2 linked regions of the Lytechinus pictus genome follow. The protein of the gene in region 1 purifies or fractionates together with the protein of each later gene. This does not show direct contact. Links are inferred from orthologs where the notes say so. Each region holds a gene or a part of one and is shown on either strand. Other genes may lie near its edges.

Region 1 (7,356 bases):
ATCAGGGCTTCTTTTGTTTGCTTGTCAAAGTGTAAGCAGGAAATAATGACTTTCAAATTTTAGTGACAACCTTTTTTTGTTGTTGTTTTATTTTTTTTTTGCTTGTCAAATTTTAATTCCTTTGAAAAATGTGCCCCCTCCCCTTGGAAAATACTGGATTAGCCCTTAGCAAATAAGCGATACGCGACTACAAAATTAAGAGAAAATAATATTCAAACTTAATAGTAAATAATAAAATTATAAAAGTGAGGTAAAGGGAGGCAGAGGAAGGAGGGAAGGAGGCCGGGATGGTGCAAGTAAAACTGAAAGTTAAAAGAGGAATATCAGTGCATGCACACTGTCTCTGGGCAAGTTGTATCACTCTGTGACTAAATTTTATTGATATTTAGTTCAACGTTAAAGGACAAGTCCACCACAACAAAATGTGGATTTGAATAAAAAGAGAAAAATCCAACAAGCACAACACTGAAAATTACATCAAAATCAGATGTAAAATAAAAAAAGCCTTATGACATTTTTAAGTTTCGCCCATAAATTTCACAAAATATTTATATGCACATCCCGGTTGGTATGCAAATGAGGGAACTGATGACATCACTCGCTCACTCATTTTCTTTTGTATTTTATTATATGAAATATGAAACATTGTAGATCTATTTTTTGTCCTCATTGTCCTGTGAAACAAAGTTTTCTTTCGCCCTGATCGAACACGTGGAATTGCCATTTTTTTACATTTCATGGTTCAGTAAAGTTGGTCTTTATTGTCAAATGACTCAAATCTGTAAATTTAGCAATATTGTACAATTCAAACAATAAAAGACAAAAGAAATAGTGAGTGAGGGACATTGTCGAGTCTTTCATTTACATATGACTAAATCTGTGCATGTAACTATTTTGTGAAAATAAGCGAAAATTTAAAATGTCATAACTTTCTTATTTTACATCTGATTTTGATGAAAATTTCAGCATCATGCTTGTCTGATTTTTCTCTATTGATTCAAATCAACATTTTTCTGAGGTGGACTTAACCTTTAAAGTAATTGTACTTTAATGACGAGGGGGATGAGGCATGATGGTGATGATGATGTGACGATGACGATGATGATGATGATGTAGATGGTGATATCATGACGGGTGACGATGATGAAAAAGATGAAGATGATAATGACTGATGACGATAAGATGGTTATGACGATGGTCCATTTTCCACTTACTTTTCAACTCCGCTTCGAGCTTCTCCCCCCCCCCCCCACTCTCGTCGTTGAAATTGAACTGATCATCTAGCTCATGTATGTTCTGAAAGATCACACTCGCATAGTAGTATACTAATTCACTACTTAAAGGGGAAGTTCGGGGAAATTTATTATAAAAATAGCATTTAAAAAAATTGTTGAAGGTTTTAGGAAATCCATCAAAGATTACAAGTTATTTATCATTTAACCAACGCTCATATCGAAAAGAATCTAAACGTAATATTGAATTAATGAAGCAAGACTTATTACTTGAGGGGTGGGAGGATGTCTATAATGAAACTGACGCAAACACATCGTATAATCTCCTAAATAATAAATTACAACATTATTATGAAAAGAATATTCCCATAGGAAAGGTAAAAAATAATCGAAAAACACCCAAACAACCCTGGATAACAAAAGGTTTATTAAAATCGATACAGACACGTAATTGCCTTTACAAGTCACATTTACGCAATCCTACTGAAGCCAATTTAAAAAAATACAAAGTATATCGCAACAAGTTAACAAAATTAATTCGTTTATCACGTAAAATGTATTATACTAATAGAATAAAAGATGCCAGTTCAAATACTTATACTACCTGGAAAATCATCAAAGAAGTAATGGGAACAAATGCAGATCCCCCACCTACCGATAATATCACTTTAAATGGTACCAAAGTTGACTCTTCCCTTCACGCAAACTCATTCAATTCATTTTTCACAAATATCGGACCCGAACTTGCAAGCAAGATCAATAGCCAAAATGCGCATTTCACGGATTATCTCCCCGAACCTAATCCACATTCATTTTTCTTGAACCCTACGAACCCCACAGAAATTCTCAACATTACAAGGTCTCTTAATAGCTCAAAATCTCATGGGCATGATAAAATTAGTATGTCTCTTTTAAAAGAAATAATTCACCCGCTTGCAAACCCTCTTAGTCATGTTTTTAATAAATCTCTATCACAAGGTATATTTCCTGACTTATTCAAAATCGCCAAAGTCAATCCAATTTTTAAAAAAGACAATCCTCATGAAATAAGCAATTATCGCCCTATATCTCTACTCCCTAGTATATCCAAAATCCTCGAGAAAATAGTATATAATAGACTTTATGAATTTATCAACAAACACAATTTATTAATTTCTAATCAATATGGCTTCAGAAAAAATTATTCAACAAACTTGGCTTTAATTCAAATTTACGATAAAATAACAAACGCCATAGCTAACAAAGAGCATGTCATTGGTATATTTTGTGACCTCAGTAAGGCGTTCGATACACTTAATCATAATATTTTACTTTCAAAACTTAATTATTATGGTATACGAGGTCAATCACTCCTTTGGTTTAAAGATTATTTAATAAATCGAAAACAATATGTCACATTTAATGGCAACGATTCTAGTTCACTTTCAGTTCAATGTGGTGTCCCTCAAGGCTCCATTCTAGGCCCGCTTTTATTTTTATTATATGTCAATGATATTATCAACACATCTTCTATTTTATCATTTGTATTATTTGCTGACGACACAAATATCTTTTTTTCTCATAAAAATATAACTTCCCTAAATAACATATTAAATCTTGAATTGATTAAAGTTTCACAGTGGTTTAAAGCAAACGAACTATCCTTGAACTAAAAAAAGACCCACTTCATCCATTTTAAACATTCTCATATTACCGATACTCCAATTCACTTACAGATTGACGGTACACCATTAGAGCGGAAGACTCACTCTAGATTTTTAGGCGTCATCATAGATCAAGCTTTGTCTTGGAATGAACATCTGCACCATATCATTATATGTATCTCGAGAAATATTGGAATAATTTCCAAGTTGAAATTTATTTTACCTCATAAAACTTTACTTCTATTGTATAATTCGTTAATACTCCCGTATATAACATATTGTAACGTTGTTTGGGCTAATTGTGGTTCCACAAAACTTACTTCTATTTCTAAATTACAAAAAAGAGCAATTCGCATTTGTACAGGATCGCATTATTTGGCTCACACCGATCCTTTATTTTTTAAACAAAAGACATTAAAAATTGCCGACTTATATACTATTCAAATAGCTATAATTATGTTTAAATATATTAACAATCTGCTCCCTTCGTCTTTTGATAACATGTTTAAATTTAATAGTTCTGTCCATACTTACCCAACGCGCATATCCGGAAACTTTCATCTCTCTAACCCCAGACTGTTAATTGCCTCTAAATCAATTCGACATCATGGTCCAGACATTTGGAATGATCTTCCAAACAATATTAAAACTTGTTCTACCATATACTCATTAAAAGCCACTCTAAAGAAAACTATCATTCAATCTTATCAACCCCTCGCTCCAAATTAAAACATTCACTCAAATATCCACATTCGCTATTTAACATTCTGATTTTACTCAACTGCTATACAGCACCTGCACCTGCAATGCACCCACTTGACCAGTAAATATCAATCTAAGTCACGAATCTTTTTATGAGGCCGCCATCAATTCAAGCCTAACCGCTCACGATGGTGGTCTCCTGCGTTCATTTATTACATTATATATATATGTTTACATTTATAAAAGATTAATTTATACTCACACTCTTATTTGTATTTATCATGTAATATGACTACATTGTTTATATTGTGAATTATTTTGTATATTGTAATTGTAAATATTTTTGTATTGTGTTTTTGAACGCAGAAATAAATGCAAGCAAACAAGCAAACAAACTTTTATTTACATGCATAAGCTTCCCCATATTTTTTGTAAAAAAACAATGGCTTGTCACTTTCATTTTTTTTGGTCACCTTTAGTATATCAATATAGACAATAATTATTTCACAAGGCCGCTCCTAAAAGAAAAAAAAAAGTTTAATCATCATGAACCATTAAAAGATTGAAATTAAAAAAATACGGGGCAGCTGCTCGTATATGACGTAAAAATCTAAAACTTAAAATTCTTATGACTTTCTTAATTTTTTTATGGATTTCCATCAAACCTTCACCAATATATATTTTTTTCTGGTACAAAGTTCTCTTCCCAAATTGTGCTCCACTTATCAAATTGGCCACGCATTATTTGCTACCAATAATAGGCTGCTCACTTCGCAAGCTTACCCAATCAAAAACAATGTCAATCAGCTGGCGTGAATTCAAAATATTGTGCGTGCATGATATTTCATGATCGACAACCTTAACCACGGACGACCATCGACCACACATTTTTTTACAATCGTGGCATTCAAACGCCAAGATGCCTTCAAAATTGAGCGATTATGATATTCTTTATACGATCGGGAGTGGCTCTTACGGGAAATGCAGAAAAGTACGTCGGAAAAGCGACGGAAAGGTAAGTAAACTTTTTTATTCTCGGCTCGAGCCGAGGCTCGGCTTCTAAGTTCTTGCTTGCGCCTTGCGCTTGGCGGGCATTTAAATAGTGTGTGGTGGGGAGGATACCGGTATGGTACTAGGCTACCTGCGGCGGGACGATCGCGAGCGAGCCTGCGATGCGGCGAAGGTCGCTTAGCTCTGGCTGCACTGACTAGACAACATTGTTGTCTCTAAAATACTCGGTATGTGTGGGCCTATGGCATCTCGTCTCAGGCTTCATGGAGAGTAAGCCTACGTACAGTATAGACAGGAATAACCGTCGTTTCTGGGGATTTATTCAACAATTTCTGACATTTTACTGTAATCCCCATTTATGATTTACCACTCTAGGCGACACCGCAATACTTACCCGTGCTAATAAAGTGGGACTCCGCTCACGCGCGTTTGGGCCTCCCTAGCTTAGAACTAAGCAATATTATCTAGAAATTGTTACATTGTAGTCATTAAGTATGTTCTATTAAATAAATTGATAATGTTTAATCGGTACTCACCGGTTCTTTTGTTGCATTTTCAGACCATTTCTCACAATTCTTCGTAAATATTTGCGGCAAATTTTGTCGCCATAGACAGCCTTAGCATCCATCTTTATTGATAAATGGAGCGCCCTTTACGATAGTTGTTAATGCCGCGGAGAAATCGTTAGGCATTTTGGCCTGTGTTCAAGGCGTTCTTTCTGTTTTATTTTTTATATTGAAGATTGTGCATTTGTTGAATAGCGCCGTCTACGTCAGGTATGAGATCGAGTGTATAAATACACTCTTCCAAAATAATTATGATTCCGACCTGGCGCTGTTTAACTTCAATCTCTTTCACCTAAATTAGCGATGAATGCTAGCATTATAAAATATATATTATTAACGTCTGACGAAAAGAATAACCAACCGATCAGCTGACGAGAACGCGAATCACGTGATCTTCATATCAGCTTCGATCGCGAGTCAGAAGAGAAGAGCAGCTGCCCAGAAAATCAGGAAAAAGCCGTGAAAATGTAAGTTCCCCTTCATTTCTTTCATTTTTTGTTGTTGCTAACGATGCATTTACACTCTAAAATTATAATTTAAATAAGAGAAAGGAATATAGCTTGCACTTGTGATATAATATATAAATATCCTGTTCTCAGAGATTTCTAACCAAAAATACTACTGATGTCGCCTATGAGGTCCATACATGTAATGTTGGACCTCATTGGTACTAGGAGTGCCATTTACCTACGGTAGGGTGTACGTGTGGGCTCGCATGTGTTCTCATTCCCTCCCTTTTGTCAATTCACAGTCCAAAGTTTGATGTAATTTTACACATCGAATTTACAATCTAAGGATGTATAAACAACAAACTTTTAGACCTTGATATTCTAACATTTAAATACTTTAAACGATATAGATGAAAAAGGCATGAAAAATATACTTTACCGATGTTTAATTGGGTTGAACACGATAAAAATGGTCAAACACGATAAAAATGGTCAAAATGGCAGCCAAACTATAAAATATTTACAAACGAACGTCAACAATCACGAATGTGATATCGATATTGCTTTCGATATTATACGATCTGCTCCATATGCGAACGAAACCGAAGATAAACGATACTAGTTATACTAGTACTAGTACTAGTTATAATCGCGATATATCGATTCGAGACATTAAGTTAATACGATAATGACGTCATTCAAGATGGCAACTTGCAAGAAAAACCGTCAGGTCAGGTGAAAATGTCTTAGATGACAGATTTCTCAATCATCCAGAGGATTTTTTTCAATAACTCCGGCCCAAGGTATGCAATTACTTAAGTTATTTATATTTCCCTGATAATGGAAACCATGAAACTTTCAATTTTGCTTAAAAAACAGTTTTAAATCGCGATCTATAAAACGCTAGTTCACTATACGTTGGCTGTAGGTACGGGGCCCCATCCCCTTCAGTCTATGTATGGTGAGTGGAGCCAACGTAGTTCAGCGGAACAACCAAAATACAGAGACTGAAGCTTTTGGTCTACGTACAGTAGTACTTTTACTCTCCAGAAGCTTCCAGGCTACTCTGCACTGACCCGAAAACCTGGGCCCTGGCTTATTATTATGTCTTTAAGTTTTGATCAAGACAGTTACAAAAATATTCATCAGGGCTGATAAATTATTCACATTTTAGTACATACCAAGTGAATAACTGGCAAATTGCATTAATTGCCAGCAACGAGCAAGATCGGAAAGATTATTGATGAAAATGTGATTGCAATTGGCAATTGATTGACATGTCATATCATGCCATGATTGTTGCTTGAGAAATTGAGCCAGGGACAGGGCGATTTCAAACTTCTATTTACTCTATACCGATCAACGAGTGAGCAGTGTCTTGGAAAACTGTTAGTGTTAGTAGGATGGGGGGTCGGGTGTCCGGACACTTTATATTTTTGAAGCCTTCTTTTTTGTCTTTGTATTACACTAAAATATGAATTCAATACTTGTAATCATCTTCTATTTTGTTCTTTATAATATTTCCTAACATTTTGTACTAAAAAATTACGAAACTTCGCTTGTAAATTCTTCCAAATGACTTTCTAAAATTGATCGTCCGGACACACAACCTGTCCGGACACGCAACAACTGGGTATACTGTCTGTAGTGTGTTCTATCTTCGCGGACAAAGACCATGAAGACACACTGAGTGACACAAGTTTTGCTGAGATTTAAACAAAAAGTCGAGCTCAGAAGCCTTTATTATTCAGAT
Region 2 (8,109 bases), about 3.5 Mb from region 1:
TTTTTTTTAATAAGGAGCGCAGTATTTTGTTCTCCTTGTTTTTTTTTTGGAGCGCTGTAGGAGCGTCGGCGCGATCGCGCTCCTCAAAAATGAAGGTCTGGTTACATGTACAGTACATGTGTATAGTACACTCTATATAATCCCTACCAAGTGCAAATATCACTTTGTGCTGATTTGTCTCCATGTACATATTCTGTGCATGCAGGATGAAAGATCTTTTCATTTTGTTTTTAAAGAATAAATCACACCCATGTGGTTCTTTCTTCTAACTTAAAATCCATTATAAGAGAAGTGAAATGAAAAGTGTAAGAAATTAATTAATTTCAACACAACCACATACTTTACTCTACATGGAGCTACCCTACATGTACAGGTGTACATGTACATGTAGGACAGGGGCTGCGGAACGGTTTTCAAAGTGGGGGGGGGGCTGACCATGCAAAAAATCACAATCATATAGCCATTTTTACGTTTTTGTACACGGTTTTGGAAAAAAGTGGGGGGGGGGGCTGAGAAGCACACTGAATTCTCAAAGAAATGATGAATGTATGATTAGGGCCTATACATGTACATCATATCTATAGACAACATTCTGAACAAACATGCTTTTTAGATGTTGGCAGTGCTGGCTTTCCATAGTTGTGGTTGATCGGATCAATCACAGCTCTTTGCAAGATGGGGCCCAGATGTACATTGATACAAAACTTATCAAAAGAGGGTGCTATTCCAAAACCTCAAGCTAACCTCAAGCTAACATGATACTGTACCATGTCCAAACAAATATTAGGCTGGTACACAGTTACACGTAGACGCAAGGTTTTGGTCTGCTGCATAAAATAGGAGTACTACCTTCATTTATGAACAAAACATTATAATACATTGCACATAATAAACCCTCATACAGCTTGTCCCAGAAAAGAAAATAAAGAATTGTCTTAATTTAATCACAAATATTATTAACAAATATGCCAAGGCCATGAACCAGGGCATCGCAAATTTGGTCTAAAAAATTGCTTTAGACTTGAAAGAAAAAAGTCATGAAATGAAACATGCAAACATTTCACATCGGAGATTTTAGGGTTGAACATGCCATAATTTGAACATTTATAATTATTAAAAAATACATGCACCTTCCTATTCATTCTAAACACTAACTTACAATTCTTTTAATAACTTTAAAAATGCTGCCGCTGGAGGAAAAGCAACTCCTCTATCTACTTCAACTATGCAGGAGAGGCAAAAATGAAGTATTTGGGCAATTCCACAAGTTGGTGGAAAAGAAATAAACAACTAAATGATCAAACAAAATCATTTTTTTCCGTTTTTGGTTTCCCTGATTTCCATAGGATCTCAAACCATATCAGTAAACTTGCCAAGTGCTGTGCAACTAGAGAGAAAAAAACCCCATGAAGTTGCAAATTAAACATGGTTTCTTTGGTATGGTTTTCATAAAAATTGTGATGAAGGAGAAACATTTCTATACTCTCTTAAAGGCCATGTCACCCTTGGACAAAATGGAAAGCAAGCAACCATGTTTCCCATCTCTTACACAAAAAATAAATATTGCTCTCTGATTTTACAACATATGAGGTTTCCATCTTTCCTTAGAATTTTCCATCTTTCCTAAGAACACATTCAACTCAATTCAATTCATTTTCCACATATTGAGTAAAAAACATACAATATCAGTAGGCCTACAATCAAATACATCCTAGATAATTACAATACAAACTAGTTATAATATGGCGTACATAAAAAAAGACGTAGAAAATCAAAATGTGAAGGGGATTGACAAAGGCCATATTGATCTGTCAAGGTCAATCCCCAATGAAAAGAAAAATGGATTAAAAATGGAATACATAAATTACATATGAGAAGAGATACTTGACCTCAAAACCCCAGATAAAGTAAAAGACAGTAAAAGACGAATGAAGGGGAGGGAGGGGCAAATATAAAACTACCTTAAGGAGTAAGAAGGGAAATTTTATATCTATGTTTGAAGGAGTGTGGAGTGTGGGGAAATGTTTGAGTTCATTTGATAAAGAATTCCAAAGTTTGGGTCCGACATATATATTGAATAGTGTTTCGTGAAAATGTGCATTTCAAATTTGGAATAAAGAGATCATTAGCTTGTCTGGTTAGACAAGTTAACATCTTGTCATATTGCTGTCCAAGAAACATGAGTAACCAACCCAAAAAAAACAACCAACATTGTGTCTCTGAGCGCTTTACATGTTCATATTCCCCCCCCCCCCCGAGTCCCCGATCACAGGATTCCGACATGCCCGCACACAATGTATGCACTTTCTCTATACCCTGGGGAGCATTTCAACAACAGTTCCAAGACTCAATTGCTAGGCCTACTACATAGGCTTTCGCATCCTACCGGGTACCCATTTAGGGTTTATTATTTATTTCCAATTCTTCTAATGCCAATTCATCCAATTGCCAACTCGTCTACTATCATTTGGTCTACCATTAGTTCGTCCACTCACCACATGGTCTACTTTCATTTAGTCTAATGCCATTCCGTCTAATAACCAGTTGGTCCAATAGCCATTTAGTCCATATACCATTTGGTCTAATTGGACTAAGTGTTAAATTGTGCAAAATGAATGAAAATGAAATGGATATTAGACCAACTGGTTATGAGACGACAACACTTCCACTCAAATTTCCATTCCAATGCATAGCAGTTTTCTCTTCTCAAGAAAAAAACCAGAATCACCACTCCAAAACATAGATGGGGCATTCCATCGAGTCAGTCGCATTTCATCTTTGCTGGTCAAAACTTGTCATTGTTACAAGGGCGAGTCTCTCTGTCAACTTTAACTTGAAATCAAAGCTTTATGAGCAAACTGACCAACATGATTATGTTCCTTCATGAACTGTGTGTTAGAAAAAAAAACTAGTCTCAAATTATATACCTTTTGACATAACCTGATAATAATACAGAGAATATTAAAGTAGCATTATATTAATTACATTTAAAGAGAATTAAATTGTTGAGAAGAGGAAATGCACTTGTTTTCTATTTGGTAATTAATGCTCTATGAATGTACTGCATAGTGAATTTTTAAATCATTCATGTAGACATAACACTACTCAGAATGGTGCATTATGGGTTCGGTGCATTATGGGTTCGGAGACTGGCCAGATTAGAGTATGGCAGTGGATTGTATTACCAAACACTTTTCATGAATTCAATCATATCAAACACATTATTCTCATAAAATTCACCAAACTTTTAACATAAATACACAATTACCTACAAAATATAAATATGTGAAAATTTTGCCGAAATTGTTTTTCCTTTTTACGATATTAGCTTCTAATCGGACCCCTCTTTGCACGTGAAATATTTTGGTCACTTGAAAAAGGTATCGTATTACCGAACGTGTTTTTTCTATGGGAAAAGTTGAGAAAACAACAAAAACACTTATGAGCTATTTTGACCATATTTTATTATTGTTAGAATATTAAGACTTTGAAAATGTGTTTTTGACCATTTATCATCAATTTCTATTCAAGTTCTCTTTGGAAAGATGTTGCAAAATTTTGAGCGTATGAATTTATTTTCTGATGCGTATGATGCGTGCGTTCGGTAATACAAGGCCGGTTGGTAATACAATCACTCACTATACTACTTTAGAGTACTAGGCTGCTGGATCATACTTGCATATGAGGAAAAAGCTGCAGGCTGTATGCAAAGACATCCTAAGAATTGGATAGCCGATCATAGCCCCATTAGAAAAATGTACATGACAAAGAATTAACTAATTACTTTCTTACTCAAATCTGAACACTTTTACCAATTTCACATCAGAGCACGATTTTCACATTGATAGGTCTATCTCTTGTAATTTTTGTTTAAAAAAAACCAAAACTTATGGGTCTGTCCCATCACAGTTTGTCCAGCACCAAAAAAAAAATGCAATTTCAACACTTCAAGCAACTTCTATTTGCATATTTTCTTTTCCACTGATGTTACAGAAATGACCCTAAAAATATCAAAATGATTAATGAAATTCCAAAGAAAAGGTCATGATTCTGATTCCCACTCCATGAGTGCAGTGGAGGCAAGCCCTAATGTTTATAGATCGCCTTCTTCTTCTTGTTTTTTCTTGAAGTGAACTACCTGGAGTTAGGCCTACCTTGAAGGCTTTTCTTCATCAACAGTTTGTCAGTAGTTCCATAGACCGCCCTTTTCAGAATTAGCCTGTTCCAATCGAGCCTATTTTTAATTTCGCTCCCAGCATTATGCAGTTATAAATGCTCCACTTTTTTGGGGTTGAGTGCCAATTCCCTGCCCCCTGAACGCACATTATTCAAAGGTATAAGTGCACAAGGAATCTAAATCATATGGATAAGAATTAAGATAACTAATGCGTTTACGCGTTAGTTAGCTTCACCTTTGAGAGGAGAAGGGGGAGAACCCCTCCGGAGATCATGTGATCAACTGATATTGTCAATATTACCATTATTGATAGCGCTGATTGATGTCAACCAAAAATTTGCGAAAATGAAATCTGCAGTTTGCATCCTCCATCTCACATCCAACATTCTCATCTGGGCAAAGAATGGTTTGCCAAGATTCAATGGATATGGCTGCCTCTGGAAAATATTATAAAGTGCAATAAAGCCTAATAAAGGGATTAAAAGTTACATTCTACAAAAACTAAAGCCAACAATACAGTCTATACACACACAAACATACATTACATACTGCACGCTCACTCTCAGCTCTGGTACACAATCGGCCTCGCTGAGATTAGGCCGTAAACGCAAGGGAAGGGACCTCCCCATTATTAACACAATACACATGTGGAACAACACACGTCGAAGGGATCAAACGCAACATCAAGGGGGCTCAAAATGCACAATCCAGACAATATAAGACTATCTATTTAATTGAGATTATCATAAACAATTGGGTTTATTATTACAAGTCACGTCACAATTTCAAACATGAATGGTTTGGGGTAAAACAAATGAAAAATACATACCAAAGCGTCCACTATCCGGAAATTTATGGGTACCGCTCGCGATCGCGTTTTCCGATCAACGCTAATTTACATGCCAGATTCTGAACGCAGATGGCGACATTCCACAAATCCGAACGATCGATCCGAAACGTGCAATTATATCGAAGCGGTAAATTAGATTTGTCTTGATTGAGCCCTGAGTTGATGTCAACTCCGCCCGTGAAAATACTTGAATTGTCTTTTTCAGATTCATGTGAGACTATTGAATTAGAGGGAAAGCTGGAAGACGAGGTACAGTATGATTTTCTGAAGAATTGATTATGGAATACTTCCAGACTAACGTTAGATTGAAATTCAAATTATTATCATCGACCTGCATCACGTCACCTCAGGCTCAGTCCCACACCCTTTGGCTTAACTTCCTTAAGTTTTGCTCGATGCTCATTCTGAATTTTAACATTGTGACAAGTTAACGTTAGAATATTATATCTAATTTATTACACTCTATTGACAATTTATTTTCAGTAACTTTAAAGTTTGCAATGACCTTCTCTGATTTAAGGATATATTTTAAAGTGGTTCTTTTTTAGTGACATTTGCCATTTGATTCAAGTGACAAGTTTCAACACCCATTTTTTTTCATTGAATAAAACAAAAATGAATAAAAATGGGTGTTTATTACATAATGGCATAACAGACAGGCCAGAGGGAGGCAGTCTGACCCCAGCTCCTGGAAGATTTTTACCTGGAAATTCAAAAATACAAGTGGAATAATGAAAGGAAAGGAGACTAAAGACATGGAGAGAAGAAAGAAATAAAATTAAAACTTAAAAGAGGGATGTGAAGAGGGGAGAGGAGAAAGAAGAGAAAATACATGAAAGGGAAAGGAATAGCAAGGAATAATTTTCCTGGTATCGATCGCAATTTGCTCCACACTTTTGAAAGACTGCTATGCCAGGGCTCCACACTAACCCTTTTTTTCTACTGGTCCAACCTATTCATGTCGGACCAGTAGATACCCAGTTTTTCCATTTTTTACTGGTCCGAACCTAAAATCTACTGGTCCCCAAAATAAAGAAAACATTAAAAAAAGGCGTGAGTTTATTTTGCTGTCCTTTCTTGTTACCCCCCCCCCCAAAAAAAATGAAGGAATGAAAGAAACAAAGGAAGAAATAATAAAAGAAAGGAAGGAAGAACAAATAAAAGGTAAAGAAAGGATAGATGTGAAGGAAGGAAAAAAGAAAGAACAAAAGAAAAAAAGGAAAAACAAAAGACAGAAAGTAATGAAAAAAGGAAAGAAGCAATAAAATAAGAAAGAAAGGGTATAAGGAAAGAAGGAAAAAAGATAGAAAGAAAGAAAGGAAGAAAAAGGGTAAATAAAGGATAAATGTGAAGGAAGGAAAAAAAGAAAGAACTGAAGAGGGAAAGGAAGGAAGGAAAGAAAGAACAAAAATAAGAAAGAAAGAACAAAAGAAAAAAGAAATAAAGGAATGAAGGAAAGAAAGAAAGAAGGAAAGAAATGAAGCAAGCAATATAGAAAGAAAGAACAAAAGAAGGAAAGAAGCAATAAAAAAAGAAAGAAAGGGTAAAAGGAGAGATGGAAAGAAGGAAAAAAGAAAGAAAGTATTGAAAGAAGGAAGAAATAAAGAAAGGTAAAATGATAGATAGAAGGAAGGAAGCAAGCAAGCAATAGAAAAAAGAAAGAAAATGTAAAATAGATGAAAGTAAGAAAAAAAAGAAAGACCGAAAGACAAAGAAAGGAAGGAATGAGGGAAAAAAAGAACGAAAGAAGAAAGGAAAGGAAGCAAGCAGTAAAAAAAAAAAAAAAAAAAGTAAAAGGATAGATGGAATGAAGGGAAAAAAGAAAGGAAGGAATGAATGAAAGAAAGAGAGAAAGGGCTGAAAGAAGGAAGAAATAAAAAACAAGAAATGGTAAAGAAAGGATGGATGGAATGAAGAAAGAAACAAAGAATGAAGGAAAGAAAGGGTAAAAAGAAGGAAAGGAAGAAAGAAAGAAGAGATAAATATAGGATGGATGGACTCAAGAATAAAAGAAAGAAAGAAATCAAAAAAGAAAGAGAAAAAGAAATAGAGAAAAATGTTAAAAGGACAGAAAGAATGAAAGAACGAAAGACAAAGAATAATTAAAAAAGAAAGACAGTAACAAAAAAAATTAAAGAAGAGAGGGAAGAAACAAAGAAAGATTGAAAAGAAAGAAGGAAAGAAAGATAGAAAGAAAACAGAGGAAGAAAGCTAAAACTATCATAAATAAATTATCAGTTTCTTTTTGGCTCAATTAAGATATAGCTACGAAAGAAACCAAGTGTATCAACACACACACAAATGCATATGTGGGGCTATCATGTATTCAGACGATATCACTCGAAACCCGATCTCTTTGAACTAAAACAGAAGTGAAAATTTCTCCTTTTACTGCTTACAAATGACAGTTACCCCAATTTTTTGGAAATATGGACATTATAAGAGCTTTTCATTAGTGTGAAATGTGAATTTTGACCGTTCTGTGAGAGATTTCTGCCAGAGGTTTGCCAAGCTTCGTTCGTGCAGCCAGTAGAAAATTCACCATGTGGGCTGTGTGGCTGGCTAGCCATATGTACACTGTATGTTACCCTAGTAAAAATTGCATGCGATTCATTCTGTGTGTGAATGACCAAATTTAACGGGAGGAAAATGGTTTGCAATTTGAGTCATGGAATATTTTTTATGTTTATGTTGGACTAGTGAATTTGACCATTTCTGGAAAAGTTACTGGCCCAACAATGGTTTTTATTACTGTTTATGTCGGACCCATAAATCTTGCTATTTTTGGAAAAATTACCGGCCCGACAATGATATTTTCTTACTGGTCTTGTCGGACCAGTAAATCTTGCTATTTCTGAAAATCTACCGGCCCGACAGTGATTTTTACCGGTCTGGGACCGTCGGACCGGCGCTAGTGTCGAGCCCTGGCTATGCCAAGGCTATGCATATAAATCTTTTGTATAGCATACTGCATATTTTTACATAGGACTACTTTACTTTAGTTGAGAGCTTTTCTCTTAAAAAGTCTTATGACCCAAAATGCTAAATTCAAATAATGTAGTGTACTGAAAAATTATTCCCT

The links. Proteins that work in one complex are often made in the same cells at the same time.
Region 2: the proteins of serine/threonine-protein kinase Nek2-like (region 1) and anaphase-promoting complex subunit 1-like purify together in Homo sapiens (affinity purification with mass spectrometry; 3 studies listed by BioGRID and IntAct, with this or other methods). This does not show direct contact. The link is inferred for Lytechinus pictus from reciprocal best matches to the Homo sapiens genes NEK2 and ANAPC1.

The regions. Positions count from the first base shown.
Region 1 is NC_087251.1:48,003,938-48,011,293, reverse strand, and holds the start of serine/threonine-protein kinase Nek2-like, read left to right. Parts: upstream 1-4,295; 5' UTR 4,296-4,496; coding exon 4,497-4,592; intron 4,593-7,356. UniProt on the Homo sapiens protein: Protein kinase which is involved in the control of centrosome separation and bipolar spindle formation in mitotic cells and chromatin condensation in meiotic cells.
Region 2 is NC_087251.1:44,500,807-44,508,915, reverse strand, and holds the start of anaphase-promoting complex subunit 1-like, read left to right. Parts: upstream 1-5,094; 5' UTR 5,095-5,189; coding exon 5,190-5,276; intron 5,277-8,109. UniProt on the Homo sapiens protein: Component of the anaphase promoting complex/cyclosome (APC/C), a cell cycle-regulated E3 ubiquitin ligase that controls progression through mitosis and the G1 phase of the cell cycle.